Danio rerio: one gene and its partners. The protein of the gene in region 2 interacts with the protein of the main gene of each other region in a pairwise test. Links are inferred from orthologs where the notes say so. Each region holds a gene or a part of one and is shown on either strand. Other genes may lie near its edges.

Evidence for each region.
Region 1: the proteins of kpna2 (region 2) and sertad3 interact in binary tests that used the Homo sapiens proteins (3 or more experiments, as listed by UniProt). The two-hybrid records come from large-scale screens. The link is inferred for Danio rerio from reciprocal best matches to the Homo sapiens genes KPNA2 and SERTAD3.
Region 3: the proteins of kpna2 (region 2) and necab2 interact in binary tests that used the Homo sapiens proteins (3 or more experiments, as listed by UniProt). The two-hybrid records come from large-scale screens. The link is inferred for Danio rerio from reciprocal best matches to the Homo sapiens genes KPNA2 and NECAB2.
Region 4: the proteins of kpna2 (region 2) and nup50 interact in binary tests that used the Homo sapiens proteins (3 or more experiments, as listed by UniProt). The two-hybrid records come from large-scale screens. The link is inferred for Danio rerio from reciprocal best matches to the Homo sapiens genes KPNA2 and NUP50.
Region 5: the proteins of kpna2 (region 2) and nmnat1 interact in a two-hybrid assay, tested with the Homo sapiens proteins (3 studies listed by BioGRID and IntAct). The two-hybrid records come from large-scale screens. The link is inferred for Danio rerio from reciprocal best matches to the Homo sapiens genes KPNA2 and NMNAT1.

Annotation. Positions count from the first base shown.
Region 1 is NC_133193.1:49,161,458-49,168,316, forward strand, and holds sertad3 (SERTA domain-containing protein 3), read left to right. Parts: upstream 1-2,272; 5' UTR 2,273-2,436; intron 2,437-4,823; 5' UTR 4,824-4,830; coding exon 4,831-5,565; 3' UTR 5,566-5,722; downstream 5,723-6,859.
Region 2 is NC_133178.1:24,111,990-24,117,033, reverse strand, and holds the end of kpna2 (importin subunit alpha-1), read left to right. Parts: intron 1-892; coding exon 893-1,156; intron 1,157-1,243; coding exon 1,244-1,477; intron 1,478-1,565; coding exon 1,566-1,748; intron 1,749-2,516; coding exon 2,517-2,666; intron 2,667-2,892; coding exon 2,893-2,982; 3' UTR 2,983-3,135; downstream 3,136-5,044. Other genes in the region: E3 ubiquitin-protein ligase SMURF2, read left to right, coding at 3,684-3,735.
Region 3 is NC_133193.1:22,957,459-22,963,725, forward strand, and holds part of necab2 (N-terminal EF-hand calcium-binding protein 2), read left to right. Parts: intron 1-1,911; coding exon 1,912-2,036; intron 2,037-6,267. UniProt on the Homo sapiens protein: May act as a signaling scaffold protein that senses intracellular calcium.
Region 4 is NC_133179.1:71,999,361-72,005,627, reverse strand, and holds part of nup50 (nuclear pore complex protein Nup50), read right to left. Parts: intron 3,910-6,267; coding exon 3,385-3,909; intron 1-3,384. UniProt on the Homo sapiens protein: Component of the nuclear pore complex that has a direct role in nuclear protein import. Actively displaces NLSs from importin-alpha, and facilitates disassembly of the importin-alpha:beta-cargo complex and importin recycling.
Region 5 is NC_133198.1:32,506,030-32,512,903, forward strand, and holds the start of nmnat1 (nicotinamide/nicotinic acid mononucleotide adenylyltransferase 1), read right to left. Parts: upstream 4,001-6,874; 5' UTR 3,961-4,000; intron 1,886-3,960; 5' UTR 1,869-1,885; coding exon 1,754-1,868; intron 1,667-1,753; coding exon 1,483-1,666; intron 40-1,482; coding exon 1-39. Other genes in the region: nmnat1-rbp7a protein, read right to left, coding at 1-39, 1,483-1,666, 1,754-1,868; protein LZIC, read left to right, coding at 4,545-4,645, 4,713-4,848, 6,284-6,382, 6,467-6,562, 6,653-6,734.

The DNA of each region.
Region 1 (6,859 bases), on a different chromosome or scaffold from region 2:
TTAGTGATAAATGTGCCTATTCGATCAATGTTAAGAACTTAATTTAAATGTTACTTTGTACTTGCAGAAAAGATGTTAGATCAAATGGATTTTGCCTTAAAAACAATCAATGAAAATCTGACATTTGCCTGATTTTAACCCTCTGTTTTTTAAATAAATATGTTAGTTTACAGAATTCCTCTTTTTTGTTGTTGTTTATGTTTGTTAGAATGTTGTATACAATGTATTTAAAGAGACAGTTCACCCAAAAATGAAACTGTTCACTGTTTTTTCATGTTGGTAAATGCAATAATTAACATTAACTAATGAACCTATTTGTAAAGTGTGACCCACTCGTTCAAAATCTATTTGAGTTTCTTCTCATTTCATTTCCTTTTCATCTGCTTTTCCGGGGCCGGGTTGCTGGGGCAGCAGTCTTAGGAGAGAACTCTAGACACTTCTTCCGCAGGGATTCCAAGTGTTCCAAGGCCAGCCGAGAGACAGAAGCTGCGTCCCAAATCGTACACTTATGCACTATTCTACGCCATTTTGTAGTATAAATAGTGTAAGTACTGCGTTCACACTGAAAACTCTAAAAATAATAAGTGAGGTGTGTAATGATGGACACTTCACATACTCAACGACCGCAGGTTTGCTCGCATAGCGGAAGGGGCGGAGTTATCGGACGGTTATGTTGGATAACTATTTATTTTGGATTGTGAAAGCAAAATTCTTCTACGAGAGTGATTATAGCGCCTCCCGATGGTGAATGCGGTTACACTCACGGCAGGTATTATTTGATAGTTTGAGCATTTAATTTACCGATTTGGCAACTGTCAAACATCATTAGGGAAACGGTTTGAATTTCCGCTTAGTAAAATAACATTAGTGTGCCATTTGGGACGACACTACATACATATACTTTCCTGTTGAGTGTTTAAGTGCATAAGTGCATAGTGTATAGTGTGCCATTTGAGATGCAGCTATAGTCCCTCTAGCGCAGGGGTGCCCAAACTTGATCCAGGAGGGCCGGTGTCCTGCAGATTTTATCTCCTACTTGCCTCAACACACCTGCAAGGATGTTTCTAGAAAACCTAGTAAGAGCTTGATTAGCTAGCCCAGGTGTGTTTGCTTGGGGTTGGAATTTAACTTAGCAGGAAACCGGCCCTCCAGAACTGAGTCTGGACACCCCTGCTCTAGCGTGTCCTGGGTCTTCCCTGAGGCTTCTTCCTGGTGGGACAGGCCTGGAACACATCCCTAGGCAGGCATTCAAAACAGATGCCCGAGCCCCTCCAGCTCTCTTCTCTCAATGTGGTGGAGCAGCGGCTTTACTCCGAGCTCCTCCTAGGTGACAGAGCTCCTCACCCCATCTATAAAAGTGCGCTCTGCCACCTTGCGAAGGAAACTCATTTCAGCTGCTTGTATCCGAGATCTTGTCCTGTGAGAGTAGGAACGCTGTATTGTCATAACACTGTATGGCAATGTTTCAGATGACTCCTCTAGAGCCTACAGCTAATCAATCTGTCAGATTCTGGAGTGCATTACAGCTCTAAAGAACATTATAAAGGATCTTAAACAAAACACATACAGTTATAGGTATGGTATATGATTATATAATTTCACTCACCTGGGAGATGGGCTCCATGTGAATGGTTTGTGAGCACAATAAAGTGCACAGCATGCCATATCTGATAATTGTAAGAAATAATTCTAAAAAGCCCATATCAAACACACCTGCCTGTAATTATCATGTCGTGTTCAGGTCCTAATTAATTGGTTCAGGTGTGTTTGATATGGGTAGCAGCTAAAATCTGCAGGAAGGTGGCATAAAACAGCACAAAAATACGATATATTTGATGAGTTCAGCAGCTAATCAGCTGGAATCAGCTAAGGTGAAGTGGCAGCGACCAGCGAGACCCAGCTGTCACTCAAGTTTCCTTAATTATGCAGACTTAATATAACTTAATATAAATGAAACGGATGAGTTTTAAAAATTCACTCCCTCACACAGTTGTCATGAAGGGTAATATAAGCTATATGAACCAAAATCGTTCTTTGTATCAGGCTATAAACATCTTTTTTTCTGCTGTAAAGTTGGCCATTTTAACACTGGGCTGAATAGAAATTTGCTCTATTATGGAGCCAGGACTAGCGGAATTTCGATGACTTGCAGCTTATACTTCCGTATTTGCTTCACGACGGAGAGCGGGAGGTTGTTGCTGGATGATGATGTCATTTTTGGATGAGCTGTCCCTTTAAAGCGTTCGAAAGCAGCACAACTACAATACCCAGCATTCCTGTTCGCGCGTGACGTCAGAACCGATTGAATCGCTGGCGGGACGAAAATTTTCTGCAAACGATTCCAGTCGACCGACACTTCAGCAGCGTTTTATGATTATGACAAAATAAGTTTATACGAGTTGCACCTTTTGTGGAGTTAGTGCCCGTGATTTGCAGGTGAGTAAGCAATGTCTTCGTTACAGGAAGATTGGATCATTTTGTCAAGATGCTAAGCTACAGTGCTGCCTTCTGCTTAAGCATAACGTTACCTTCTAAAAACTTGATTTTTTTGTCAATTTGTTGTGTGACTTTTGCAGCTGATCGCTCGTCTGGAAGACAGATATGCTGAAAATGCCTAAACTTAATTGTGATCACTAACATAAATGTGATACTCTGTTTTAAAATGATTATCGAGTTACATACAAGCCAAATATAACTTCACAAACGTTATTAATCGTAAACTAAATGATGTCCTACACATTTAGAGTTCGCAAAACAATGTCAAATTCTGTCTTTTCTATCAAAAGTTACTGTCTTACAGTAGGTAATTTAAATATCAAATATTATGTAACATAACCTCTTCACCTTCTGACTAAAAGATGACAAAACCTCGCCTCAACAATGCTCATATATACTTTATTTTGTAATTATATATGAATGTAACGCTAAACATTGTACACTTTTAAAACTGGATGAGTATTTTGTGTCTGTAAACCTATGTCCATATCTTTAGTATTTTTTGTGTATTTGTTGCGTTTATATACATATATTACAGATGTTATGTTTTATGATAGTTATGTTTGATGTGATTTCATGAATTAGATGTACGGTTAAATCAAAACCTAAATGATAATGACTGAAATAGTTCACGGTTGTGCAATCAATAAGGAAATGTCTTCATGACCATCTTCATTATGGAAAATGTACAAATTTCTATCGTAATTATAAATTAACAGAAGTAAAATAGTAAATGGACCCTTTTTTGTCTTTTGTTATTTAACTGAATTGTCAATGTAAATTAGAATAGTTTATTAATTAGATTAATTAAAGTTGGTTTTATATTTGCATATTCAGACTTTCTCCTTAATAATCTTATTTCAGAAAAGTATTCTTTGATAATTCACTAGCAGCCAATGACTATCAAAGCACAACATTGCTCAGAGTCAATTAAAGTGTCATGAAACCATAAAACACATTATTTGAGATGATGACAGATCTAATATATATATATATATGTATGTGTGTGTGTGTGTATATGTATATATTTGAAGAAGTCAGATGCAAAAACTTCTTAAGTGCCGTCTGAAATTTCCATCGAAAATTAAAAAAAAAAATTCAGCCTCCTTTGTTTATTTTATTTATTTTTATTTATTTATTTATTTATTTATCATCGTTATACAATGACTTGCATAATTACCCTAACTTGCCTAGTTAACCCAGTTAAGCCGTTAAATGTCACTTTAAGCTGAATACTAGTATCTTGAAAAATATCTAGCCAAATATTATTTACTTTCATCATGGCAAAGATAAAAGAAATTATTAGAAAGTTATTAGAAATTAGTTATTATTGTTTAGAAAAACAATTTCTGTTGAACAGAAATTGGGTTACACACACACACACACACACACACACACACATATATATATATATATATATATATATATATATATATATATATATATATATATATATATATATATATATTTTTTTTTTTTTTTTTTTGCATTGTTTAAAGCAAATTTGTGGTAATGTTTTTTTTTTGGAAGTCATGTGATTTTAGACTAAATATTCAAATTAGCACATAGTAAACAAATTTTCATGTGAATATAAAACCTTCTTTACCTTAGTTTCGAACAGTGGGTTTAAAACAGCTTCTTCTTTAAATAATTCTACTTTAAAAATCTCTATTATGCTAATTATTTCTGTTTATTTCCATTAATGACACATTTGCTGACGCATCAATTTCTTGCCTATGCTGAACTTGTACAGTTGAAGTTAGAATTACTAGCCCTCCTGAATTATTAGCCTCCCTGGTGTGTGTGTGTGTGTGTGTGTATATATATATATATATATATATATATATATATATATATATATATATATATATATATATATATATATATATATATATATATATATATAAAACCCAATTTCTGTTTAACAGAAATTGTTTTTCTAAACAATAATAACTAATGTCTAATAACTTTCTAATAATTTATTTTATTGTTGCCATGATGACAGTAAATAATATTTGGCTTGATATTTTTCAAGATACTAGTATTCAGCTTAAAGTGACATTTTAACTGGGTTAACTAGGCAAGTTAGGGTAATTATGCAAGTCATTGTATAACGATAATTTGTTCTGGAGACAATAGAAAACAAATATTGCTTAAGAGGGCTAATAATATTGCCCTTCTAGCCAAAATAAAACAAATAACTTTCATCGGAAGAAAAATTATTATCAGAAATACTATGAAAATTTTTTTGAGCTGAAACAAGAACTTTTGCTTTATTTCTTTTAACATTTTCTGCTTGTATTGATGTAAACTCTGTTGTGTTGCAGAGTGGAAATGGTGGCCAGAGGTCAGAAACGAAAGCTCTGCAGAGACGACGAGGGAGCAGGTTCAGCTTGGGAAAGTCAGCTGCAGTCTGTGCTGGACATTTCCATGGACAAATACCAGCGGGACCAGGCTCTGGTGGAGCCCAGCTTATTACGGTCAGTTCTGATCAACAACACCCTGCGGCAGGTTCAGTCTGAGGTCCGTGCACAGGTAGACTCACTCTCCCCTCTAAACCAATCACAGCCCAAGCCTCAAGATTTTCCTCAAATACTCTCTCCGGTTGACCGTAACGCATCTCTGTTCTCGCTGAATGCTGAAAACGTGGAGGAAGATATCACGGGCTGGACATCAGAGGAGGATTTCTCATTATCTTCTGCCATCTCTGCCATTCTCAAAGATCTAGACGCCATCATCGATGGACCGTCTCAACGTTCTCCACTCGGATCCATAGAGAATCTACCAGGGTGTTCAAGTTTGAGGGCTGAAAAATCATACTTCAGAACAGAGGCCACGTGTCCAGGTCAAGACGTGTCTTTGGATAAACTACTTATGGACATCGATTCATCCGTTTTTGAGCCTGAAGTGAATCTCCTGCAAGGCTTTTCTGATGATTTAGTGAAGTATCTACCATCCTTGTCCAAATCCCCATCAGCTTCTCCATCTGTGGTTTCTCCAGGTCAGGCCACATGGGAAATCCAGGAGATCGAGCATGTTATGGACTTCCTGATGCGGACGTATCCGTGAAGATGATTTTAATGATTGGTTGAGTTATTTAAATGGTTTTTACGGATGTCTTGGACATCTAGACATGTAAATGAAGATGGCTTGGCTAAAGCAATGCTAAATTTGGACTGCCAGTGAACATCTAATAGACATCCAAGAAAGGACCAAAACTAGACTAGTCATCAAATACACATTAAGCCTGATTTATACTTCTGCGTCAGGTGACCGGCGTGACCCACGGCGCATGCAACGTGCGTGGCTGGGCATTTATACTTCTGCGCGCTGTCTCTGTTGGTCTGCATTAACACTTCCGAAACGCTAGTTGGCAGTGAGGTGTAAATGTTCCTCTGTGTCAAGTTTCTTCGCTACTTTTTTGCATTTCCTGAACACTTCCGAGATGTACAAGTGGCTCAAACTCGCTCATTTTGAGGCAGGAACCGGCGGACGTGCAATAACTTTAACTATAAGGTAAACACAAAACAAAACTTTCCATCCGGAGCTCCTTCACGGGACTCCACACTTGTAAACAATCACTCGCGCGGCGTCGCGCCATTCGCGCGGCTCTCGTCCCGTCCAGACTCGTCAGCGCTACTAAGCCGACCAATCACAGAGCTTACGCTACGCGTCGTTGCGACGTGTAGTTACATTTTTTGAGAGGTGCACGTCAGCGATGGCCACGGCGAAGGGCTATGCGTCAGCGCCGTAGCATACACCGGCGTTAGACGCAGAAGTATAAATCAGCCTTTAGACAGACAACTCATATGTAGTCGTTCATTTTTTGTATTTGATGATTAGTCTAGATTTGGGCTTTTCTTCGATGTCTATTAGATGTTCACTGACAGCCTTATGTTTTACCAAAGCTGTCTATTAGACATTTATAAAAGCTTGCTGGGTGACCAGTTGCTCCTCAACAATTCCTTCTGCTTTTAAAAGAAGCCCTTTTGTTTTTAAAAACAGTCTAATAGACGTCTAAATATAGACAGCTTCATTAAAGCAAGGCTAAATTTGAGCTGCCAGTGAACATCTAATAGACATCCAAGAAAAGACCAAATCAAGACTAGTCATCAAATACAAAAAAATAAAAGACTACATATGTGAAGTCCGTCTAATCTGTCTATTTGATGACTAGTCTAGTTTTGGTCTATAATTAGATGTCTATTAGATGTTCACAGACGGTTTAAATTTAGCCTTGTTTTAGGCAAGCCCTTTACATTTAGACATCTATTAAACATCTATTAGATGTATTTTGAAAACAAAAGGGCTTCTTTAAAAAGCACAAGGGCTTGTTGAGGAGTAACTGGTCACCTAGCAAGCA
Region 2 (5,044 bases):
GCAGTGTGTAAGCGAGGCGCACAACTAACGTGCTCTGCTGGACAATAGACCGGCTTTGTTCAGGTCTATAGAACCGACTATTATAGTTTCTCAAAATAGCAATGCACCTCAACACGCCATCTTTTTTTAGATCAGAACGCCTATGGGCGCACATATGATTGTAAAATAAAATAATTGTGTTTTTTTTTTTTTTTTTTTTTTTACAAATTTGATGACTACAAATTGCTAATTGCAACTTGTAACATTCTCCCTATAAATTTACATTTAGAAAACCTATTAATGTATTACATTTTTTTTTAATCCGTCTATAAGCTTCTACTGGTCCAGAACTCAGCTGCCCACATCATCACTAAACTCTTTTTCACCATATTACCCCCATTTTACAAAATCTGCACTGGCTTCCAATCCAACCTAGAGTCGATTATAAAATCGTCCTGCATACTTTTTAAGGCTATCCATAACCTCACACCAGCTTATTTGTCTGATCTCTTCCATATCATCACTCATTTCTGCTCCCTTAGATCCTTCTCCTCCATACACTCTGTTCCCTCTGCCAAAGCTATTTGGCTATTTGTATTTTATAATCTTCTCTTTTTTTTTTTTTTTTTTTTTTTTAAATATACTGTGGGTTTATTTTTAAATTATTGAATTGTGTATATTTGTTGTACAGTGATCATGGGTTCTTGAAAGGTGTATTGCATAAAACGTATTTAAAATTATTAGCTAAAAAAAATTAAAATAAAGGTTTTTACATGTATTATCTCTAAACCTCAAACAATGTTGTTTTTGGTGTTCAGGACTATTTGTTTTAAACTGTAGTGAGCATGCATTACCGCTAGATGGCGTGAAAGCTGTGTAGAATTACCCTGACCAGCCAGTTTTTCTTCTACAGGCTGGTTACCTGAGGAACGTCACATGGACCTTGTCAAACCTGTGCCGCAATAAGAACCCTGCACCACCTCTGGAGGCTGTGAAACAGATACTACCCACACTCATCTGCCTTCTGCAGCACAGTGACAAAGAAGTGCTTGCGGACACCTGCTGGGCCATCTCTTACCTGACCGACGGGCCCAATGATCGCATTGAGGTTGTGGTGAACGCCGGTGTGGTTCCTCGACTGGTGCAGCTACTGGCATCTGGGGAGCTGTCCATTGTGGTAAGTTGGTGGAAAGTAGTGAACTCTTGAGTTATACGTTTAAAATGGTAAATTTAATAATAACTTTTTTATTTTTTCCTGCCACAGACCCCCTCACTACGTTCTATTGGTAACATTGTCACTGGCACAGATGAACAAACGCAGGCTGTGCTGGAGGCTGGTGCTCTTCCCATGTTCCCAGCTCTGTTGCGCCACCAAAAGAGCAACATTCAGAAGGAGGCGTCCTGGACTCTCTCCAACATCACGGCTGGCAGAGACTATCAGATTCAGGAGGTCATCAATGCTGGCATTGTGCCGTACCTGGTGGAAGTTCTCAGACGAGTATGTCACCACATGAACACAATACAATACTTGTTCATGAAGTTAATTTATTTTCAACTTAATTTTTTCTCTCTCTTGCCTCATGCAGGGTGATTACAAGACCCAGAAGGAGGCTGTTTGGGCAGTGACCAATTATACCAGCGGGGGCACAGTAGAGCAAGTGGTTTACCTAGTTCAAGCCAACGTATTGGAGCCCTTGTTGAACCTGCTCTCCACTAAGGACAGCAAAACTATTCTGGTCATCTTAGATGCCATCACAAATATCTTTTTGGTATGAGTCAATTTTAAGTTGAGGGTAAATGAGTTTTATTGATCTTATTGAAACCAAGTATAGATGATTTTCATCTCGACTGCTACATCTCAAAATAAGGAGTGAATCAGATTTTATTAAATTTTTCTCTAAGAAGTTTGTCACATGTTGCCACTTGTGTGTTCAGTAGCTCTTCTGTCATGTGTGCATTTACAGACCAATTTATTTGCCCTCCTGTGAATTTTATTTATTTTTTAAAATATTTTCTAAGTGATGTTTAACAGACAAGGGCATATTTTTTATTTTTTAAATGCATCCTACTGAGGAAAAAATATAAAGGGAAGTCTTGTTTCTTTTAGTTTGACTGGAATAACAAAAAATACAATTAAACTGTTAACTGGTGAGGTTGATGTAATTGGCCCGACTACTCTAAATCTCTGGATGCTAATCTTGCAAAATGACTAGTGATAATGATGTTTTGTTCTGATATTTAGTTACAATATTATTTGGTATAATCCCCTCTGACCCACACACAGTTATGACTCACTTTGGCTTCGTTATTTCAGATTGACTGAAAGAACTGATTAATCCAATTTTCTAGTCGCATAAATTAAGGAAACATCACAAACTTTCTGTCTGTGCATTTAAAGTTTTACTTAGTAAATGCATTTACTTTGTAGTCTGAGCACATTATTTTTATTCCAATAGTCCATTAATGCAAATAGGTAGATCTGGAACATGACATTATTTTGTTGTTCCTCTGTTAATATAACTTTGTTTTGTTTTTAGGCTGGAGAGAAGATTGGTGAGGTTGAAAAGCTGTGTTTGATGATTGAGGAGTGTGGTGGCCTGGACAAAATCGAAGCTTTGCAGTCTCATGAAAATGAAATGGTTTACAAGGCCTCCCTCAACTTAATTGAAAAATATTTCTCTGGAGAGGTGGGTTGATCAAATTTTGAATCTCTAGTTGCGCATTATGCATTCTTTTTTTGTGTGTGTAGAGTTTTATCAGTCTGCATATTAAAACTCTGAATTATTATACATTCCACAGACGGGATGGGGGGGGGGGGGGGGGGGTAATCTCAACTTTGAAGTTTAGTTTTATCTTTTGCTTTTAATTCTTTCAAGAACTGCTTTTCCTAAATCCCTGATTTCTGTCTTGCAGGAGGAAGAGGATGAATGTGTCGCACCTGAAGCTACAGATGATGGTTATGCATTCCAGATCAACGAAAACCAAAGCACTTTCAACTTCTAAATGTCTGACCTGTGAAATACTTTTGTATGATTGTTCCGATCATTTCTGCACGCCACTTATCTTGTTCATGTTTGTCTCTGTTTGGACCTCGTGCTCCAAGTTGTACATATGAATCTGTCAGTTTTAATTGTTGCAAATAAACCAACCGAAAAAGAACCAAAGTTGTTTTCTTCTATATTCAAGACATGGACTAAATAAAATATGAATAAACAATAAAGAGGAAAGACTGATGTTAACCGCCAAGTGAAATAAGTGTATATCCTACAGCACTATGAATATCAAGTAGGTCTGATGTCACAGTCTGGGCGGTTTAAGCGGCTCCACAGACACCTTGCAAACCACATTTCCTCAAATCGGTCGCCCATAAGCGATACAACTTTTCCCTCAAGGTCTTGGAATGGCAGTAGACGCCGAAAGCTGTTTGTTCGTGGAAAATATGTTAAACTTCGGGAGGTCTCTGTAAGCGGATCTTTTGAGGGGACGTCGTGGATTTACTTTCACAGACGGTAGAAATACGAGGAGCGCGTTAAAGCGTGTGTATGTATGCAGACATGGCAGGGCTGTGCACATCCGGGCCACAGGACCGTGACTCCATTATTTTCTGTTCACTGTGAAACTGGCGTTGAGGGGAACCAAAAAGCAACTCTGTAACACATTCGACCCGTTTTTTGTAGTAGTCAGCCTGGATAAGGGTCAAGGACATGTCTAATCAAGGAGTTAGAAGGAATGGACCCGTTAAGTTGCGTTTAACAGGTAAGGAATATGCGACATCGTACAGTTTCATCTGAAACTGGCTAGCTGGCTAACAGCTATTGCTGTAAGTCATTGTAGTTTTCTGCCTTTTACCGTGAACCTTCGCTTTGAAGAGCTCTGCGAGTGTGTTTATTTGTCAGATTATATGTTTTGGGTTATGGTGATAGTATGACTGAAACTGGCGTTTTGTTGCAGCGTTGCGTTCTTTAGCAGGTTGGACAACGTCATAATGGAGCCTCAATGGAGCGCGAACGCAACAATTACATTTCTTTAGCTTCAATTGTTTACATTCTTTTGGTTGCGTTGTGATTATCGTTTAAATACGCGCAGCTGCTGATGTGGACGATTGGCTTCGCGAAGAATACGGCTTATTGGCATGAATTGAATTCTTAAGCTTGCTTTATGTAGCCCGTTGCCCCAAATGCAAAATGTAAGAAATCACGTTGCTTCAGTCACTGCAATGCTAATCTGCGAGTGTTTATCTCAATTGTGTTTGAAAATGTTTGCACCAATTAGTACTGTAGACTACACTAAATACTACTAACTAGTGAGAATGGATATTACACGTTGCTTTATTAGATGGAAGAGTGCGGCAGAACATGCGTTAATATAGTATTTACCATAGAAAAGTTACACTGTTAAATGTTTATATATATATATATATATATATATATATATATATATATATATATATATATATATATATATATGCATCTGTATGTATATTTGTTACAACAACTTAGCAATAACTATTAATAACAGTCTACTGATTAATGCATGCGTTTAAAGCACGAGTTTGGTTTTTTCAAATTTCATAGTTAACATATTTTTCAGTTGTTTAGTATTATAATTATCCACATGCTTTTATTCGTAATGTTCTTGAACAGACTTTAGCTATTGTCTAAAAGTATTAAAAATAAATGTAAAAATTCTTACATATTCATTATCTGAAACAAAAAAATTACTTGTTTTATAAATTATACAAATCTTCACAATATAGGCAAACTACTACTCGTATACACTTTATCAGTGTGATTTGACTAACAGTAGAAAGACATACTATGATTTATGTTTATGTTAGCTATATATATTTTACAAATATTTCTTTTGTTCACCTGCATGCTAAGTTTAACATGATTTGAAATGCTATTTTATCTGACTTAAATGATTTTATTTTAGCTACACTGAATGGCTGTTACTTTAAAAGATGAGCAATTTATGCAAACATAAAGTAAGTTGTGTTTCCTGTGAGCGCTGCTGTTTCCTGTTAACCTCTCGGTTATGTTGGCCATTGTGCTTTAAGGACCCA
Region 3 (6,267 bases), on a different chromosome or scaffold from region 2:
AATGAACCTAACGCGCCATAATTTTAATTCTATATTTGTGAAGAATGAGCCAACCGCATATGCTTAGTCCTGTTGGTCGGGACTCTGCTTTATAACTTATTAGTTTATTACAATAATCACACTTAGCTTTGCCATTGTTCTTCACAACATAGCCACTCAGCACATCTTGCGGTCCATCTTTAATGTTTAGATTATTTAAGGTGCTATTGACGTTTTGAGAAAAAAATTAATAGTACTGAAACTAAATTATTAAAAATAAACTTGCGGGACTTCATTTATGTCCTGCGGCAACATTATTTTTATTACACTTTAAGTGATCTGCTTGAGGTAGGTCACGTTTATCAATGGTAAGTTTTAGCCTAAGTTTACATCAATAACATAATGCAATAACATAATGTGCATTGTCCTTTACCATACAAAAAAAAAAAAAAACATTATTATACACCAGTTGCCTGTAGCCTATAAAAAGGCCGCAAATATTTTTAAATGCAATAAAAGGCAAGCACATATCTTAGCCTTAGTTTGTTCACACTCTGCCTGTATTAACATAAATGCTGTATTTTAATATAGCCAATTTTGATTAATTAGCTTTAACTGACAGCTTTTTCTTCTTTTTCCGCGGTTATGCGGCATTATATTTCACACGCATATGCAAGGTGACTGAATATGAAATTAAAATACAAAACATACTGAGCCATTAAGTAAAAAAACAAAACAAAACAACAGTTATACTTTAAAGCAGAACATTGACGTTTTGAAACAAAAAAACGGAACTGAAACTAAATTATTAAAAATAAACCTGCCAGACTTAATTTATGTCCTATTTTCATTATTCATTTATTTTCATTATTCGTTTATTATTATGTACTATAATTGAAACATAAAATGAGATCGTAAATATAATCAACAACGAAAATGTAAATAAAAACGTAAATTAAAAATATAAATGAACATGTCTAGTCTTAGTTCTATCAAAATAGCAAACACTACATCTCTCTATATTTAGAATAAAAGACTGCTTTATTTATTTATTTATTTATTTATTTATTTATTTATTTATTTAAGACTAATTATTTGTACTGAATGTTTGTGCTTTCATTTTAGTTGTCATTCATTTCTTCAATTCTATTTTCCAAAACGAATCCTCTTTGCACTTAATAAGTTTACAATAAACCAGGTAAAAAAAAATTTAATGTAAGTTGAGGTGATCGCAAGTTCACAACTGTGAGGTGATGTGCTCTACCGGCAGGATAATCTATATTATTTTGCTGTTTTTCATATGCGCACGTTTAAGATTTGAGATTATAACATTGCCATGATAGTCAAAGAAATCAAAACATTATTTTCACCATAACGCAATTTAATCGGGCACTGAAGGCTAATAACTTAATTCTTATATCTGCTTTTTGACTTCTCACCATGTATCTTTTCTACAGCATAGGATAGTGTAAGAGCATGTCTATTACCAGAAAAACTAAATTAAAATTATATTTTAATTGAACACATCACATCACATACAGTAAGCTACGCCTACAGAACAGTCTGTTTAGCATTGTGAAAAGGCAAAGCTGAATATCTGTGGTTAAAGTGCCACCCAGCGGTCAAATGCTGCTGGCGCATCAAGTACCGCCGTCGCCGCGGCATGAATGGCGGCACAAGGAACACATTGAAGTAGTAACATCTGTACATCTTGCACCTTATTGCATCGGGTGTATGATAGGGCTCATTGACTTCCATAGTATTTTTGCTTCTACATGTCAATGGTTGCTTTCCCCCAAAAATTTTTAATAAAATAAAAAAAAATCATAAATGTTTTATAACCACTTGAGTGTGAGTAAATGGTGAGGGAAAATTTGAAATATTCTTTAACCATCTGTATTCCTTGTCCTTGTTTTCCCTGTTATGACCTAGATCTTACCCCAGTAAGACCAGCCCACGCGTCCCAGATCGACGCTATGAGGCACCGGTGCCAGATTATCCTCCCAACAACAGAGTCAGTGCAAAGGAGAGCATGAGGAACATCAACACAGGTGCAGGTGAGGGGATTACATGTCTCCAAACACCTCCTTTTGAAAACAAAACACACTATTAGTTGTTTACAAAAGGCATAATTTAGGTTTATTTTCTTACTTGGATTTTTAGTCTTGTTTCTAGTCTAAAAATTCAAAAATTCTTAAATTAAGAAACATTTTCTAGACAAGCAAAAGTTATTATCTTGTTTTAAGAAATATTATGTCAACATTAAGTGAGTTTTTTCCTAAAACACATAAAATAATCTGCCAGTGGAGCAAGCAAAATAAACTTATGTCAAAAGAAAAAACAAGATCATTTTGCTTGTTTTTAATTCTAGAAAATGCTTCTTGACTGAAAGGCATTTTTGCAGTGCAGTTCCAAAAATAATGCATACGGTGTGAGTTTTTAAGCATCACATAATACACACCAGACTTTAATGGCTTATATAGGAGGTGAAAAACACGGTAATTTCATTCAAAGGCCTGAAAGGAGCAAAAAAAATGCTGATATTTATATGGTAAGCTTAAAAAGAAAGCTGGACTTATGATAGCTTGTAATGTAAATCAATAAGATCCTTTTAACATTATAGAAGACTACTTAGATAAAATGCATCTAAATATCAGTTGTCGCTCAATGTCTACCAAATAATACATCTTAGTAAGATGATACAGTATTTAAATGCTTAGCTTTACCATCAAAGCTCTGTATTATTTATTGTGGAGACACATGTAATGTAATGCAAAATGGGTATAAGTTACCTTTTACAGTATATCTGGAAAACAAAATAAAATATATGTTACCTAAATGAATGGGATGAAAAACAGTATGTGTATGACTTGGGACAGCAAAGCTTTGACAATTGTGAAGCCTTAAATACATGCAGATATGTAACAGTAGGTATTATATGGTTAAAGGTACAATAATGTATTTAACATATTCACAAGTCTAACACTTAATTTTAAGTTTAATATAAAGTTGAAGTTATTAGAAATTATTAGCCTTTTGAGTTTTTAAATTTGTTTTTTAATATTTCCCAAATTATGTTTATCAGATGAAGGAAATTTTCACAGTATGTCTAATAATATTTTTTCTTCTGGTGAAAGTCTTATTTGTTTTATTTTGGCTAGAATAAAAGCAAGTTATTAATTTTTTAAACAACATTTTAAGGACAAAATTATTAGCCCCTTTAAGCTATTTTTTTTTGATAGTCTACAGAACAAACCATCATTATACAATAATTTGTCTAATTACCTTAATCTGCCTTCTTAACCTAATTAACATAGTTTAGGCTTTAAATGTCACTTGAAGCTGTATAGAAGTGTCTTGAAAAATATCTAGTGACATATTATTTACTGTCATCATGGCAAAGATAAAATAAGTGAGTTATTAAAACTATTATGTTTAGAAATATGTTGAAAAAAATCTCTCCGTTAAACAGAGATTGGGGAAAAAATAAACATGGGGGCTAATAATTCAGGGGGGCTAATAATTCTGACTTCAATTGTGTATAAAGCATTATATATTAGGAAAACTAAAGCAACACATCTCTTTACATGATCTTCCATTAATATAAAAACTATTTACTAAAGTAATTGGGCTATTAGAAAAAAAATCTTTAGTGTTTAGTTCTCTGTAAGTCTAAAACATCATATATAATGGTCTTAAAAGGGTTTAAAAGTCTTAAATTTGACTTAATTAACCTACAGAAACCTTGTGTCAGGCAAGATTGCTAATCACTGAACCATCATGCTGCATTTACCTAAGTTATTTTACTATCAATCAAAAGTTATTGAATACACTGAAAATCTCAGAAAAAAATCTTTTAGAGAAAGTCATTGTTCTGCTGTCAGTGTCTGTTGTGAAAAAGCACATGGATTAGTATGTTTTAGTAAAATTGGCACATGGATTAGGCCTGATTTTAGCCACACTTACAATTTTTTCTTGCAGTCTTGTACTCGAGCTTTACTCAAGGACTTGTTTAATGCTGTTTTTGGAGTGTTTGCTTTATTGCTTCTATTCATCATGAGCTGTGTTTTTCCAAACATTACATTAATCAATTCAGCAAGGTTCTTGTTTGTGGTCCAGGCTTGCTAGCCAACTGCATTATCACACAAAACATCTGCATTTATCATTCCTCACACCATCTAATTGCTGAAGGCACAGTTAAAGTTTGTCAAAGATGTGGTTCGCCGGCTCTCCCGTGGGCTTTCTCTATCAACACACTCCACATTTCCATTACTGATGAGATTTGTGCCTGAGCTGCAGTGTGTTGGTTATGAAACCACTCTGAAGAGACAGTAAAACAACGCAAAGCCATTCGTGTGCCAAGTCAGCACAAACCACAAGCTCACGACAGTCTCATATGGATGATGCAACTGAAGAAATGTGTGAGTTTTTAATGAGGAGATGGTGGAAAAAAGGTCTCCCTCAAAGCTTTCCAGTGTTTCAGTCAGTAACTGGGCGCCCAGAGATATGGGAGCAAATTAATTCTAGTGCTTTTCTTTTTCTTCTGTTTCACAGAGAAAGGGAGTATATGATTATATTTGAAATGTCCATCTCACTTTCCACTTCCTCTAAGTTCTAATAGAATAGTCAGCCACTCAGTTTTTTTTTTTTTTTTTTATCAGATCAGCCAGGCAATTCAGGCATTTTTGCAGATTCAAACACTTGGATTTATTTGGAGTTGTAGCTGTCTGATGTCAGGCTTGCTTTACCTGGTATTAAAGGGATTATTCACCCAAAAATGAAAAGTCTGTCTTCATTTAGTCTCCCTTGGCTTGTCCCAAACCAATTCAAGATTTTTGTTCTGTTAAACAAAAATTAAGATACAATTGTCCCTTGTTAATCGCAGGAGTTTTGTTGTAAAAATTGCCCGCAATAGGTGAAATCCACAAAGTAATCCGCTTTTTTTCAATTATTATAGATGTTTTAAAGCTGTAAAACCCTTTACAACACTATTTTCTCAGATAGACCTTAACATTTTCACACTTTTCTCTTGTTTTAACACTCTTCAACTTCTACCTTCTCTCAGCATGTCCAGAAGAACTTTTTGTACAATGGTTAGTATCTTCCTCAGCCTTTTAGCTGTTGCCGCAGGTGCCTTTGACATAGCAGAATGTTTTGTCAACATTATGGAGGTTGTTGGGGAGAAAACATACAGTACAGCACTTCAGAGTCACACTGCTAGCGATCAAATATTTATGTAAATTTGGCAAGCTAAAAGCATTCTGTACTGTACAAGAGACACGACATGGATGGATTGATTGGCAATGGTCTACAGCCGATCAAGATGCAAAACACAATGTGCTAATCTTGACGCAGAACACAATGGACTGTAAAAAAAGCATGTCAAATTGCACTAAAAAATCAGCGAAACTGCAAGTGCGAAAGGTAAATCGTGTTATGGCGAGGGACCACTGTATATCTGTATATATGAAGAATGTTGGAAACCAGTAACCATTAACATCGACTGGAGAAAAAAAACAAATCCTAGGGAAGTAAAGGGTTACAGTTTTCCAAGATTGTTCAGTATATATTATTCTGTGTTCAACTAAGCAAAACAAACTCAGAAAAAATTGAGAGCTCCCTCATCCTCCATATACAGCAATGCTCCAGAGACATTCAAAGTCGAGAAAAGGAACCAGAAACAGGTGACTTTTGTGATCCAAATCTAATTATATGAAGCTTCAATAACACTTTTGTGCGCGAATAAATTTTTCTCTTTATGATTTATTTTTGTCTTTGTTTTGTCGGTATAATGTATTGTATGTATGTTTCATTGTGTTCGATAATTTACGAATGTAAAATGTTAAAAACAGTAGATTACTGGCAGCCACAGCTGCCGGTATTTTTCCGTAAAATCAAAAAAATAAGTAAATAAAAAAATAAAACAGCAAAACGTTTTTTGTTTCACCATTGTGAAGGATAATAGCATCTGTGTTCAAGTCCAAGATAAACTGAGAGTAATTGATGTTATGCTGCATCTTCTTTTGTTTAAAGGTAACTATGTAGTAACCTATGCAGTGAATATCTGTTTGTTAATTGCAATCACACATAAACACATTAATGCGTCTAATGACTTTACATTTTTGTTCACTATGATTTTGTAAACTGAACATTGTGTCAGTTCATGAAATATGTTTTTTTTTTTGTAAATTTATACAGTTCTATAAAAGTTCCATGTTTTTCACAGAAAAATTCTGGCAACCACAGCTGCTGGTATTTTTGTTTTGTAAATTTAACAAATATTTTACA
Region 4 (6,267 bases), on a different chromosome or scaffold from region 2:
ACTGTGCAGTGTTGATTATTCAATATCTGTACCAGAATAGCGAACACCTAATTCACTTTTATCTTTACTATATTTGATTCATCCATGCTTGTCATTTATTTGTTATATTGACCTTTTTCATGGCTGCTGCATGGAGGGCGCCATAGCAACAAGCGTCTTCCGGTTAGAATGCTAAAAACTTGCGTTTACAGCGTGTACAACTGGTAATTTGCGCTCTGAAAATGGGTTTCAATAGCCGCATTTCCACTATCGGGCCAGTGCGAGCCAGGGCTTTAATGGGGCCGGGCCGGGCTAATAGCCCGGGAGGTTGAGAAATGAGGCCGAAATCATGTCGCATTTCCACTGTCGGGCTAGTAGCTCACAGCGCGTCACTCAAACACCGCCCACAGAACGTCCCCGAATCAAACGTCACACAACCCGCCCACTTCAGCGGGAATCAGGACAGGCAGATAAAGCAGACCATAGAATCATCACGAAACGAAACCATTAAAATGAAGACAACCAAAACAAACAAACGACACGTCACTGTACAGCAGTACATTATATGTCTGTACGCACAGACCTGTGTATTTCCATTCATTACATTTGTTTACTCACCGACCGACTGTTGGCATTGTGCATCAAGTGCTCTCGCCACTAACGGAGTGACCCAACACAGAGAGCGCACACATCTATAATATAAAGCCACAGAAATTCTCCTTTATAACTCGATATGGCATGTATTTTATAACATCCTCGTTTTGATAGACGTCGTGTTAAGTTTTCAGCACAAGAGCGAGTAGCCTAATAAAATATAGCCATATTTGTTGCGCTCAGCAGCTATTCACTAAAGCTCTTCATTTAAAGTTTCATTTATAAATTTAACCACGTCATATAAAAACAAAAACAGTTGTTTGAGGATATAGAACACATTTTGTGTTTGGACTTTCCCCCGATGCGTTTAAAGCTGCGCTGCGCAGGACTGAGTGACAGAAACAAAGGTATAGGCTAGATTCTGCTTTCACTCACCCAAATAATGCTCTGTTTGCGCGATTTGATTAATATCATCGTATCCAAATACTTTATAAATATTTACTTATATAAATATTTACTTTATTTAAATATTTCAAACTTTATCCGGTGATTAGTTTTTAGAAAATATCGAAAATCTTTTTTTTTTTCAGACAGGTCTTTGCAAAATGAAAGTTAGGCTATATGTGGCTTTAAAACGATTTGATTTATGTATTGTATATAGGCTACCTACATTGTTATAGCTAGCTTTTATTTATTTTATATTGGTTAATTTATTTAATGTGATTTTATATTTATCCGATATTTGTAATTTTTTAAATTATATTTCAATATAGGCTATTTTATCAAGATATGACACTATATTGTTTAAAGTCTACAAAAGTGGGCACGTGATTTGTTAAGTTTAATGTCTTTCTGTTGTATTTATATTGTGTATTATCTCCAGAATAAATAAAGAAAAAAGCTGCTCGCGCATAACAGAGCTGTGAAGGAGCGCTCTTGCCCGGTCGTACACACACATACATGTCTAAACATGCACAAACAAACATTTTAAACTTGACAAAAACTCTGGAAAACCTTTACTGTCTGCTGTGTGTTTAATATGGTGTAAATATTATTATGCGTTATTGAAACATAAAGGAGGACGCAGCAAAAAACGTCACTATAAATTAAAACTACTTTATTATTGTATGCAGCAGCCTTACATTTAAAAGGGAAACATAAGGGTGATCATACGCAAAAAGACCCCAGACTATAAGGCTAGATGTTTTCTTTCCCTTATTTCTTTATTTGTTTGGCGCATGTACTCATGTGCGATCAGAAAACTGCCCGCCTCTCCTTTCACTCCGCCCCGAAGCCCCAGCTGGCCCTCCTTGGCCCAAGGTATTCGGAGGGCCGAAAAAGGCCGGCCGCTGGCCCCAAGAAAGCCCCGCTTTGGCCCGATTAGGCCCTGGAAGTGACAGTGGAAACCCCACTTGCCTTGGCTCGCTCGCTTTAGGCGCGATAGTGGAAACGCGGCTAATGACGTTTTTATAGATAGCAGAGTGTTTTTGTGACGCACAACTTAGAAATGTGTCTGTTAAAGCCGTTATAATCTGTCACGTGGTTCAAGCGCGTCAGAAATACGAGAAAAACATTCTCCTAGTTCACGTGTCTGCCGTCAGAAATATAGTGTGTGTGTGCGTTCCCGGCCTGTCAGCTGTTAGCTCAGCGGCTCTTCAATACACACACACAGAGAGAGAGAGAGAGAGAGAGAGCAAACCAGAGTACTGGCATGAAACCTAACAGGTATGAAAGTCGAGCAATTTACAAAAATGAGCAATAAAAGTCTGTTATTGATCCTCTGCTGCTGATTTGCTGTTCATTCTAATCGCGAGCCGTTTGTGTTTTATTTTGTGTGTTGTTTTCACCACGGTTTGTGTTTTTCTTTCATTTCGAAATGACACTAGCCTATATTTTCACTTTGTCACAGTTATTAAATCAGTGTGTCAGTGGCACAGTACAGGCTACGTGTGTGTGTCAAACATTTTGGTGAATTACATTAGTTTGGGCTGGTTATATATTTAAAATAAAGAGAAAACGTTGACTTTAGCGATGACGAGGCTTCATTTAAACTGCAGAAGATGCCGTCTGACAACCAGGGGAAAACGCCTCACAGCAGCTGTTTTCCATCCTATTAGATCGCATTTCTTTAAATGATCAGTCCCGGAGATGCTGCTGATGGACAACAGTATTAGTTCAAAGAGGATAAAAGCAGGTAACATAGATTAAAACTCGTTTCAAAGCTGTGCAAATGTGACTGTTTACACGCATCAGCTGCCGACCGGAAGTTCTTCGCATTCTCCTTGCGCAGCATACACGCAAAGCATAATGGGTAATTTTGCGTTCCAAGAAAAAGGGCTATACACACTTTATTTTAGCGGCTGAATGAGAGCATCATCCGGGTTTTCAATGTGAACGCACTACTTACACTATTTATACTACAAAATGGCGTAGAACAGTGCGCAAGTATGCGATTTGGGACGCAGCTAAAATCCTTCAATAACTAATCGAGCTAAAGTGATTAATTAATCAAGGTTTAATCATCCCTTAAATAACAGATTTTCTGAATTGTCTTCAGAACAAACCACTGTAAACCAACGACTTGGCTAATTACCCCAGTGAAGCCTTTAAATTGCACGAAGCTGAATACTAGTATCTTGTAATATTAAGTGCTGTCGTGATTATGACAACAAAATGAGTTATAAAAAACAATACATTTACAAGTGCGCTGGGAAATAATTAAAGAACTGAATTAGACAGGCGGCTTAACAATACTGACTTCAACTAGTCATACTGCGCAGCTCTAGCCATCAAAGCAAAGCAAGCGTGTACCTGCAGTCTGGCTGTTGCTGTCCGAGTTGACCACAGGACTACTGACGCTACTGACGGCTGAGCCAAACACAGCAGAAGAAGAAGACGAAGAGGAGAAGGAAAACGACGGCGCTCCACCTGACGACAGCGCCCCGAGCACCGAGCTGTCCACCTTCTTTCCGAAATTAAAGGAGACTCCCGGAGGAGCTGCTGGCTTTTCTGCTGGAGGCTTGTCGTCCTTGTTTTTGAGGGAGACGGTCTGCGGAGCCGCAGCACAGGATGCCAGCGGCTTCCCTGGTGTTTCGTCTGCCGCCCCGCTGCCGTATTTCCTCTCGATGCTGGCCAGGTGACGCTCGTAGTCCCGGAAGATGGGGTTGAGGTCGCACAGCGGGTTGTCGTTGACGTGTTTGGTGATCCAGTCGCGCACCGAGCAGTTCAGCGCTGTGAGCTGCCGGTTGTACTCTTTACTGCTGGGGGCGGAGCCGTTGGAGGTGACCTCACCGTCTGTGGGCTTGGAGGGGGTGGAGCTGCTGAATGTTAAAGGACCTGTGCATGAAGAGAGGGAGATACATAATTAGGGATGCAATGGCTCTTGGTAAAAAAAACGTATTGTCTCGTCGTCCTCTCACAATTCGGTGCGTCCTGTGATCTATAGTTCATAGGGATGTAACGGTATTGTAAATACCGTCATACCGCAATATTAATTTTTTCGATATTACCGAAGTCGCATGACTCGGTAAAACTATAGGTCTTCTGAGAAAATTTGCTCAGGCGAATGAAGCGAACGGGAGGTAGCGAAAACTACAATTCCCATCAGCCCATGCTTGACCATCATCCCTTGCGGTCTGTTGTCGCTACAGATCCAGTAATGCGGAAATGGAGTGTGCTGCTAGAATGCATGTACACTTTCTCATGCATTGCACATGCGAAGACCTCTCCAATCACCTCCAAGTATGTAAATCAGTTGCTGACATCACATTTCCTCATGTGTCTGTGTGTGTGTGGGGAGTTTCTGTGGGTTTCAGCATGGCGAGTGAAGGAGATACAGCGCAAATGCGCAGATGAGGCCAAATCACAGCGCACTGCAGTCACGCATACAACATACGATTTTTAAAACGCTCAACTTTTAATTAATGCAAGAACATGCGATACATTTGTGTGAAGCTGTTGCATTGTCAGGTGTTCGTTAACGGTCAACAACCGCCTGAATGTACTTTACCCCTTACTTCATGGATAATTAAGTGTAGTTTTCTGTACTAATACACAACAAATTACTGTGATGAGAAGGGCTGCTTCCTAAATATTAGAGTTGGGGTCGAGTCCACCTTTGTCGAGTCCAAGTCGAGACCAAGTCCTTAACCAGTCGAGTACAAGTCCGAGTCTGAGTCCAAAAGGGGTCGAGTCGGACTTAAGTCCGAGTCCTTAACATCCGAGTCCGGCCGAGTCCAGACAGTCTTAAAACTCATTTATTATTTTTTCTTTTGGCTTAGTCCCTTATTTATCAGGGGTTGCCACAGCGGAACGAACTGCCAACTAGTCCAGCATATGTTTTACGCAGTGGATGCCCTTCCACCATTCACCCATTCACTCTCATTCACACTCACACACCCCGGCCATTTTAGTAAATTAAATTCCCCTATAGCGCATGTGTTTGGACTGTGAGGGAAACCGAAGCACCCGGAGGAAACCCACACCAACACACGGAGAACATGCAAACTCCACACAGAAACACTCCTGACTCCAGTCCCTGTGCGGCAACAGTGCTAAGCATTGAGCCATGGTACCACGTATGTAAAATAACAATAATAATAAATCAAATATATTTTTCTATTAACAATTAAACTGTTAAATGAAGAATTTAAACTTTTTGTACATTTTTACAAAATGACTTGTATTTTTTGTTAGCTTGCTTCAAATTAAAATAAAAATAGGAGGATATATGTCGAATTTTTATTATTTTACAAGACTCACACGATTGACATTATTCTAATGCCACTTTTTCACATTTCTTGTTTAAAATACGCTTGCATTACCAAGGCAAAAATGCATTTTTATTAACATTAAACATCAAATAACAGAGAACTGTTATCAGCCCCAGTGTGGAAAATGAAACCATACTCATGCCAACTGACCCAGATCAGCACAGAACATAAAAGGTTCAGCAAAGGGAGACCATTCGGCTTCACCACTGTCTTAACAGGGAATTAACAGTCAGAAAGATTTTGTTTTAAATAAAGAAAGAGTGATTAAATAGTGGGGGCGATTGGGTGCAAAATAAAACCCAGTGGGAATCAGACTGAAAAAATAGTCCAGTGCAGATTTCTAGGCTCTTGATCTGGGTCTATCTGTTAATGATAGCCTGAAACAGGGGTTCTCAATGTCTACATTAAAAGTTCTAAATCTGAATTTTTTTTATTAAGGTCAAAGCAAAGAAATTAAACAATTGATATTACATAACTTGTTTTTAATAAACATCCATAAGATGCAGCACGGTGGCGCAGTGGGTAGCACAATGGCCTCACAGCAAGAAGGTTACTGATTCGAGCTGGCTTAGGGCAAAATAAACACATACTTATCTGTTCATTCAACTTTGAACTGTCTATTCTCTTCATCAATTCTTTTCAGTGAGACTGACATCTTCTTCCATTAAAATGATTGCTTTGCTGCAGTGTGTTAAAACAGGCGAGCACACACGATTATCCAGCATGATCATGATTAGGCCCAGCCCTAACCAATTTGGAGCCCTAGGCAAGATTTCAGGTGAATTCCAGTAAATTCCACTGCTAGTGTACATATACTCATAAGACACTTATTAGCTTTGTCTTGGACATTCTTTCATTTTAATAAAGCAAGTGTACATTCCAAACACTTAGAAGTTTTTGCAACTCTGGGACACCTCGAAAA
Region 5 (6,874 bases), on a different chromosome or scaffold from region 2:
TTGCTGCTATTCTCGCTGGAAAGAACTGCATGATGATGCCTAACAAAAAAGACATACAATTATCAGATTTAAGGCAAGACACTGCAGGTGAAAATGAAAATAATTAACTTACGTATACAATTGAAGTCAGAATTATTAGCCCATCTGTTTATGTTTCCCAACTTCTCTTTAATAGAGAGAAGTTTTTTCAACACATTTCTAAACATAATAGTTTTAATTTCTAATAACTGATTTATTTTATCTTTGCCATGATGAGAGTAAAAAATATTTTACTAGAAATTTTTCAAGACACTTCTATATAGCTTAAAGTAACATTTAAAGGCTCAACTAGGTTAATTAGGTTAACTAGGCAGGTTAGGTTAGGTGGGTTATGTGCAGTCAGGTGCAAAGTTCTTGTTTAATTTTGCTATATTAGAGTAAATAATTTTACAATGGGATTTTGAGCATCTACATCACTTCATTATACAAAACATTCTGCAAACAAGATTTTTTTTACCAAATTAATTTGTAAATAAATTAAACTATTCATGAATTTCTTTTTTGTAAAAAAAAAAAAACTTTAAATTGTGAATATGTATAGAACGTAAAGTTTATAACTTAGAGAAAACTGCAGGTCAATAGGGTGAAAACTTACGTAACATATTTACCACCCTGCTTCCAGAATTGATTGACTAAAATCTAGGTTTTTGAAATGTTGTATTTAGATATGCAAATGAGATATTCATTAAATATGCACTAATTTCCATTCATTTTAGCATAAAGAAATAATACTGGATGAAGTCAGGTTCAGACTTGTTTAATTTATTTGACATATTACAGTCAAAAGAATTTACATGCCAATGGTATTTAGGTAATCTATATCACTCTACAATTCAGAAAATACCTCAAACAAACAGATTTTTTAAAAAGTGTCACTTATTTTTGCAGAATAAACCACAGATTAATCAAGCAAACTATTTATGAATATATACCACTGTAAAGAAATAAATGGATTTAAATGAATAAATAAATATGAACATGAATAAAACTTAGCTGATTTAATTCTCGACTGTAAAGTTGGACATTACATTATAAATATACAGTCAGAATATGTGTAATAAATAATAATAATAATAATAAATAAGTGCAATAAAAGAATCACTTAGATGTTTCAGATCTTTTCTTTCCATTAAACACTTAAAATAGAGAAATAAAACTTAATAAAAAAGCCAAAAAGGGCAAAACAGGTGCATGAAGACAGTGTTTTTGCCTGCAGTGTCAGATTTTAATATCAACATCAAAACAATCATTTTGACGCAGTAGAATATCAAAGATGACGTCCATCCACACAAGTTAACACACTATCAGATGGGACACTGAACTCATGCAAAGACTCAAAGCACAACAACAGATGCAAAACTCGAAGGGTGTGACATTTATCTTTCCCTTCAACAAAAGTGAAATGTTCTGATCTGAAAGCACATGATCTGAAGAGATTCTCACCGAACAACTTTGGCCGTCTCCACCCACTCAGGCTGTTGACTCTCCCAGTCATCCACCGTGATCCATTCAGAGCTCTCCGTGGCCAGTCTAGCCATCTCCAAGCGATGACAGGCTTCAATCAGGCCTTTCTTTTTATAGCCATCTCCAACTGGAGAGATTATGCCTTTCACCACTTTGTATCTTCCTGAGACAGCAAGAAATCTGAAGTTATGCATGTGTAATATGCAGGTTTTAATTGATAACAAAAGCAAGCGTGTGTCCAGAGATTTACCAGTGTCCTCAAGGTGATCGCGAGCCAGTTCGAACATTCGCAGATGCATATTTGTGATGGGGTTGAAGGAGCCACATGCCAGCAGAACCAGCTTGATTTTCTCTTGTGATGCCATCGATCATGAGAAAGATGCTGTCGGAATAGAAGATAAAATAAATCAAGACAATTAAAGCGCAACTAGGCATTTTATTTTTGAAGACAGGAATTTGTAGCATAGATTTCAAAATGATGAAAAGTAATTGTTATTTTACAATTTGACTGTCCTTCACATAACTAGGTCAGCAAAAAAGCTTTTAATTATATATATATATAAATATTTTTATTATTCTATGTATATTATTCTATATTATTATTAATAAATAGTTTTTTATTATTACTGTTTCGAAGAATAAATCACAGATTAATCAAATAAATTATTTATTAATATATACCACTGTAGAAATCTTCATTCATTCATTTTCTTTTCGGCTTATTCCCTTCATTAACCTGGGTCGTCACAGTGGAATGAACCACCAACTTATCCAGCATATGTTTTACACAGCGGATGCCCTTCTAGCTGCGACCCATCACTTGTAAACACTTATGCACACTCATTCACACACATACACTACAGACAATTTAGCTTACCGCATGTCTTGCGCTATAGGTGAACTGAATAAACTAAACTGGCCATATTGTATGTGTGTAAATGAGAGTGTATGGATGTTTCCCAGTACTGGGTTGCAGCTGGAAGGGCATTCGCTGTTTCGATTTTTCTTTACATTAGGAAATTTCCATTTCCTCTTATAAAAAGAAATAAAAAGGTTAAAAAGTCAAAGATTTTATAATAAATAATTAATAATAAAATGTTAAACGGTCACATGCTCTTTAGTCATATTTGGATAAATACGGGTCAGAATACGTTTGCAATTTTATTTCAGTATAAATATATCTGTTTCACTAAATGCCCATAAAACATTATTTCTTCAAAATCTACTAATTTTTACAAAAGTTATTTGAAATATCAAAGCGGACACTTTCTTGACATATGAAATTGCTTTTATGTGATGTTTAATGTGATTCAGACATTCTAATAATATTAATATAATCAGTGTTGGGGTAACAAATAATGTGATTTGCATAATAATATTACTTTTTCAAATAACAAGTTATTACTTAAAAGATGCTCTACATAAAAAAAGTTATAATTGAGTTACTTTTAGTTTAATTATCATGCACTCAATGAGAAAATATTTGCTTTATACTTTCAATAATCTGTATATACGGCACATATATTGGAAGTTCTCAGAAGATAACATTATGCTAAACTATTATTTTTTTTAAAGGTAAATGAAGGTTATAGTGCGCTGTTAAATGCAGAGCTCCTCTAATAAAAAAGAAAAAAGAAAGAAAAAACCTGCAAATTCTGAAAAAGATGCTATTAAAAAAAAGTAACGCCAAAGTAATGTATGGCATTACTTACCATAAAAAGTAACACAATTAATTACAATTTGGTGAGTAATGCAAGACATTACTTTCAAAAGTAACTTTCCCTAACACTGACTATAATTATATACACCACACACACACACACACACACACACACACACACACACACACACACACACACACACACACACACACACACACACACACACAAAAACTTGTCATTTATAAAAATAAATAAAAAAATTAAGTTTGTTCCTGAGGAAATTCATAATGCTACGAAATCACCAAATCTTTCCATAAAGAAAAATCTGAGCTAACTCTCTAAAGTTCTTCCTGTTTCAAAAGAAAGTAAGAGGAGGTATTTTACTATAGTTAATGACTATACTATAGAAAACAGGGAACAAGGAAGGAGGGAACAGGAAGGACATTCCTACACAGTAAATTCTATGTAGTGAGTAATTAGTTTACGATCAATTAACCTATTTAATCAACTGGGCTAAAGAATGATATTAAAAATAAATGCACAATTGTGCGCAATAATGTGTTATATAAGCAGGACTAAACGTGTTTACTTACTACCAAATCAATACATCAGTCTCGTGCTTTCCATTGAGCAGAGTGAAAAAACTTCCCCAAATTTATGATAACAAATGCCGCGAAATGTAACGTTAGTAAAGAAACAGAAAACCTGATAAATGTGTGGTTGTCAGCACTATATATACACAACACATTTTTACTGTCTATGAAACAACATAGACTGTACGGTATACAAACATTACCCTTCTCAGGACAGCTGCAAGTGTTGGACAAATGATCAATGCGCGTGCGCACATCATACGCAAGTCCTACGCTTTCGTTGTGTTCGTAATCGTCAACTCTGCGCAGAGTTTACGCAGACCGACCATAGGCTTTCTATTGAAGATCAATAGCAAGCCACACCTTAGCAAACTGGACTTAGGAACATAGCAATTGTAATTTTATCTTTAACATTGGGAGTTTTATTAATTAAATAAGATACAGGTGAGAGATACTATTTTATTAAGCTAAAACCTTTTCGTTTAGGATTCTTAAGTTCGTGCATTGGTTTGTTTATATGTGAGTGCAAGCTAAGCTAACTGCGCAGTCAGAGAGAATAAAGCACTCACTGTCTACAGAATGGGGTTTTAATCACTGATAGTAAACCAATAACAATATTTAACTTCACATGACCAACAGTAGACACTATTTCTGATCATATCAGACATGACAGGTGTGACATTCACAGATACAGTAGCAACACTATAAGGTGACCATGTTCTGTATGAATAACCTTAGAGATTGCTGAAAATATAATTTTGGATTATTTTAATTTTTTTTTTAAAGAATGGCTTCTAGAGGGAAATCAGAAACAAGCAAACTGAGACAAAACATGGAGGAACAGCTGGACCGGTTAATGCAGCAGCTCCAGGATTTAGAGGAGTGCAGGTAAACACATCTCACCAGCTCTTTCAATAACAAAATATTACAAGATTATGATCATTTTTCATTGCAGAGAGGATCTTGAAGAGGAGGAATATGAAGAAACCAAAAAAGAGACACTAGAACAGCTGAGCGAGTTCAATGACTCACTCAAGAAGCTGATGTCTGGGAATATGACACTAGTTGATGAATTAGGAGGAATGCAGCTGGTAAGAAAAAGTACATTGAATTGTATTAAAGAGATAGTTCACCAAAACAATAAAAGTTTGCTTACCCTCAAGTGGTTCTAGACATTAAAGAGTTTACACAAAAGAAAATATTTTGAAGAATGTTGAAAACCTTATTGAGGTAAAGTTGGTTTTATTTTCACACATTCATTCATTTTAATGCTATCTATATTGTTTACCGCATTCCTTTGAATATTCAGTGAGAAAAATCACATGTAACTTTAACTTTAAAACTACATTAGCACTATTTAACTGACTGTAAATCATGTTGTACTTTAATAAGTCATTTGCTGTTGATGTCATTTCCCAATTTAGAATTTGCAAATAATTATTTTCTGAAACTATATTATTAAGGGGAATGTCTGAATAAGTAAATATAAAACCAACTTTACCTTTTTAGAAAACTCTAACCATTGAGATCCGTAGTATAAACAAAAGAAAAATAATATATCTTTTTTAAATACTGTAAAATACTGTATATATTAATAAGAATATGGATGTCAATGGCCACCAGTTTTTCTATAATTTAAAAAAAATACAAATTTTATGTGAGTATGTGTTTTTTTAAAGTAGAAAGAAGCTCAAACAAGCTTGAAATGAGTGGAGGTGAAGCAAATAATGACAGAATTTCCATTTCTGGGTGAACATTCTGTTTAACATAATATTAATTTACATGTTATAGAATTATCAATTATTATTATACATTATAAATCAAAGTGTTTGGGTTAAAGATGAGGCGTCCACATTGTTAAATGTACAATTAATTCAATACACATAGGAAGTGTCTAGTCTAATGGTTCAGCTTTCTTATATAAAAATGTTAAAATATGTATGAAATAAGGTTTCATCATCATTTAGTGTAACGTTCATTAGTTTAACAGAGGGCTGGGCCATATGGCAAAAATGCAATCTCGATAATTATTTTACATATTGAATGATGACGATGTATATTTCGATATAAGTTGTTAATAAACCGAATAATTAAAAATGATTGAAGCCACAAAAATGACTGGGTCCCTTAAATGGCATAATATATTTTCGGCCAATAAATTTTCAGTGGCCAAAAAATTCAGTACATCTCTAATATCAACACACTTTTCGATTCCCATTGTTGCACATTTCTGCAGTGATTGGCTCTTAGATCATTATAGAGTAAAAAAGTGCAGAGCTTATCATTGTTATTGACGTACATTTTATCGTGATTCGATAAAATATGCTTTATAGGCTCAGCCCTAGTTTAACATACTTGTTTTGTTCATTATTCAAATGTATAACAGAAAAGTGATCATACTAAACTTTAGTTACATGCTTAACAACGTCTTGCTGACAAATGGGTAAACCCTAGGGTCAAAAAATCTAACTCTATTTCACACAGAACAACCTGTGATTGTTTAATGTCGAAGTAAATTTTTCTTAGGCGATCCAAGCTGCCATCAGTCAGGCGTTCAAGACTCCTGAAGTTATTCGGCTGTTTGCTAAAAAGCAGCCAGGGCAACTGAGGACGAGACTGGCGGAGGTGACCAACATTGTTTAATACTGACATTTTTCAAATATACGACCCCCTGCGTGCTTATGCTCATGTGCTGTTTGATGAATTCAGATGGACCGCGATGTGATGGTTGGAAAGCTCTCTAGAGATGTGTTCACTCAGCAGAAAGTAGAGATCCTCACAGCTCTGAGAAAACTTGGCGAGAAGGTGAGAGGGTTATTACTGACACTTAACTGATACTGCGTCTGTTTCAAGACTCGTGTGTGAAATGATATCTATGCTTGTTTGAATGTGCAGCTGACAACAGAGGATGAGGCGTTCCTCGCTGCCAACGCTAGTGCCACTTTGAGCCATTTTGAGAAGGTCACTGCGAGTCTGGGTAAGATGGCAATCAATCACGTGTACTATTGAGGCAACCTATCATGTTTTCTGGAATATAAGTCAAGTTTTTGGATCTGAAATCCAAAGCAAGTTATATAATGCAGTTCATTTACTCACCACTGGTCATCTGATGTCACT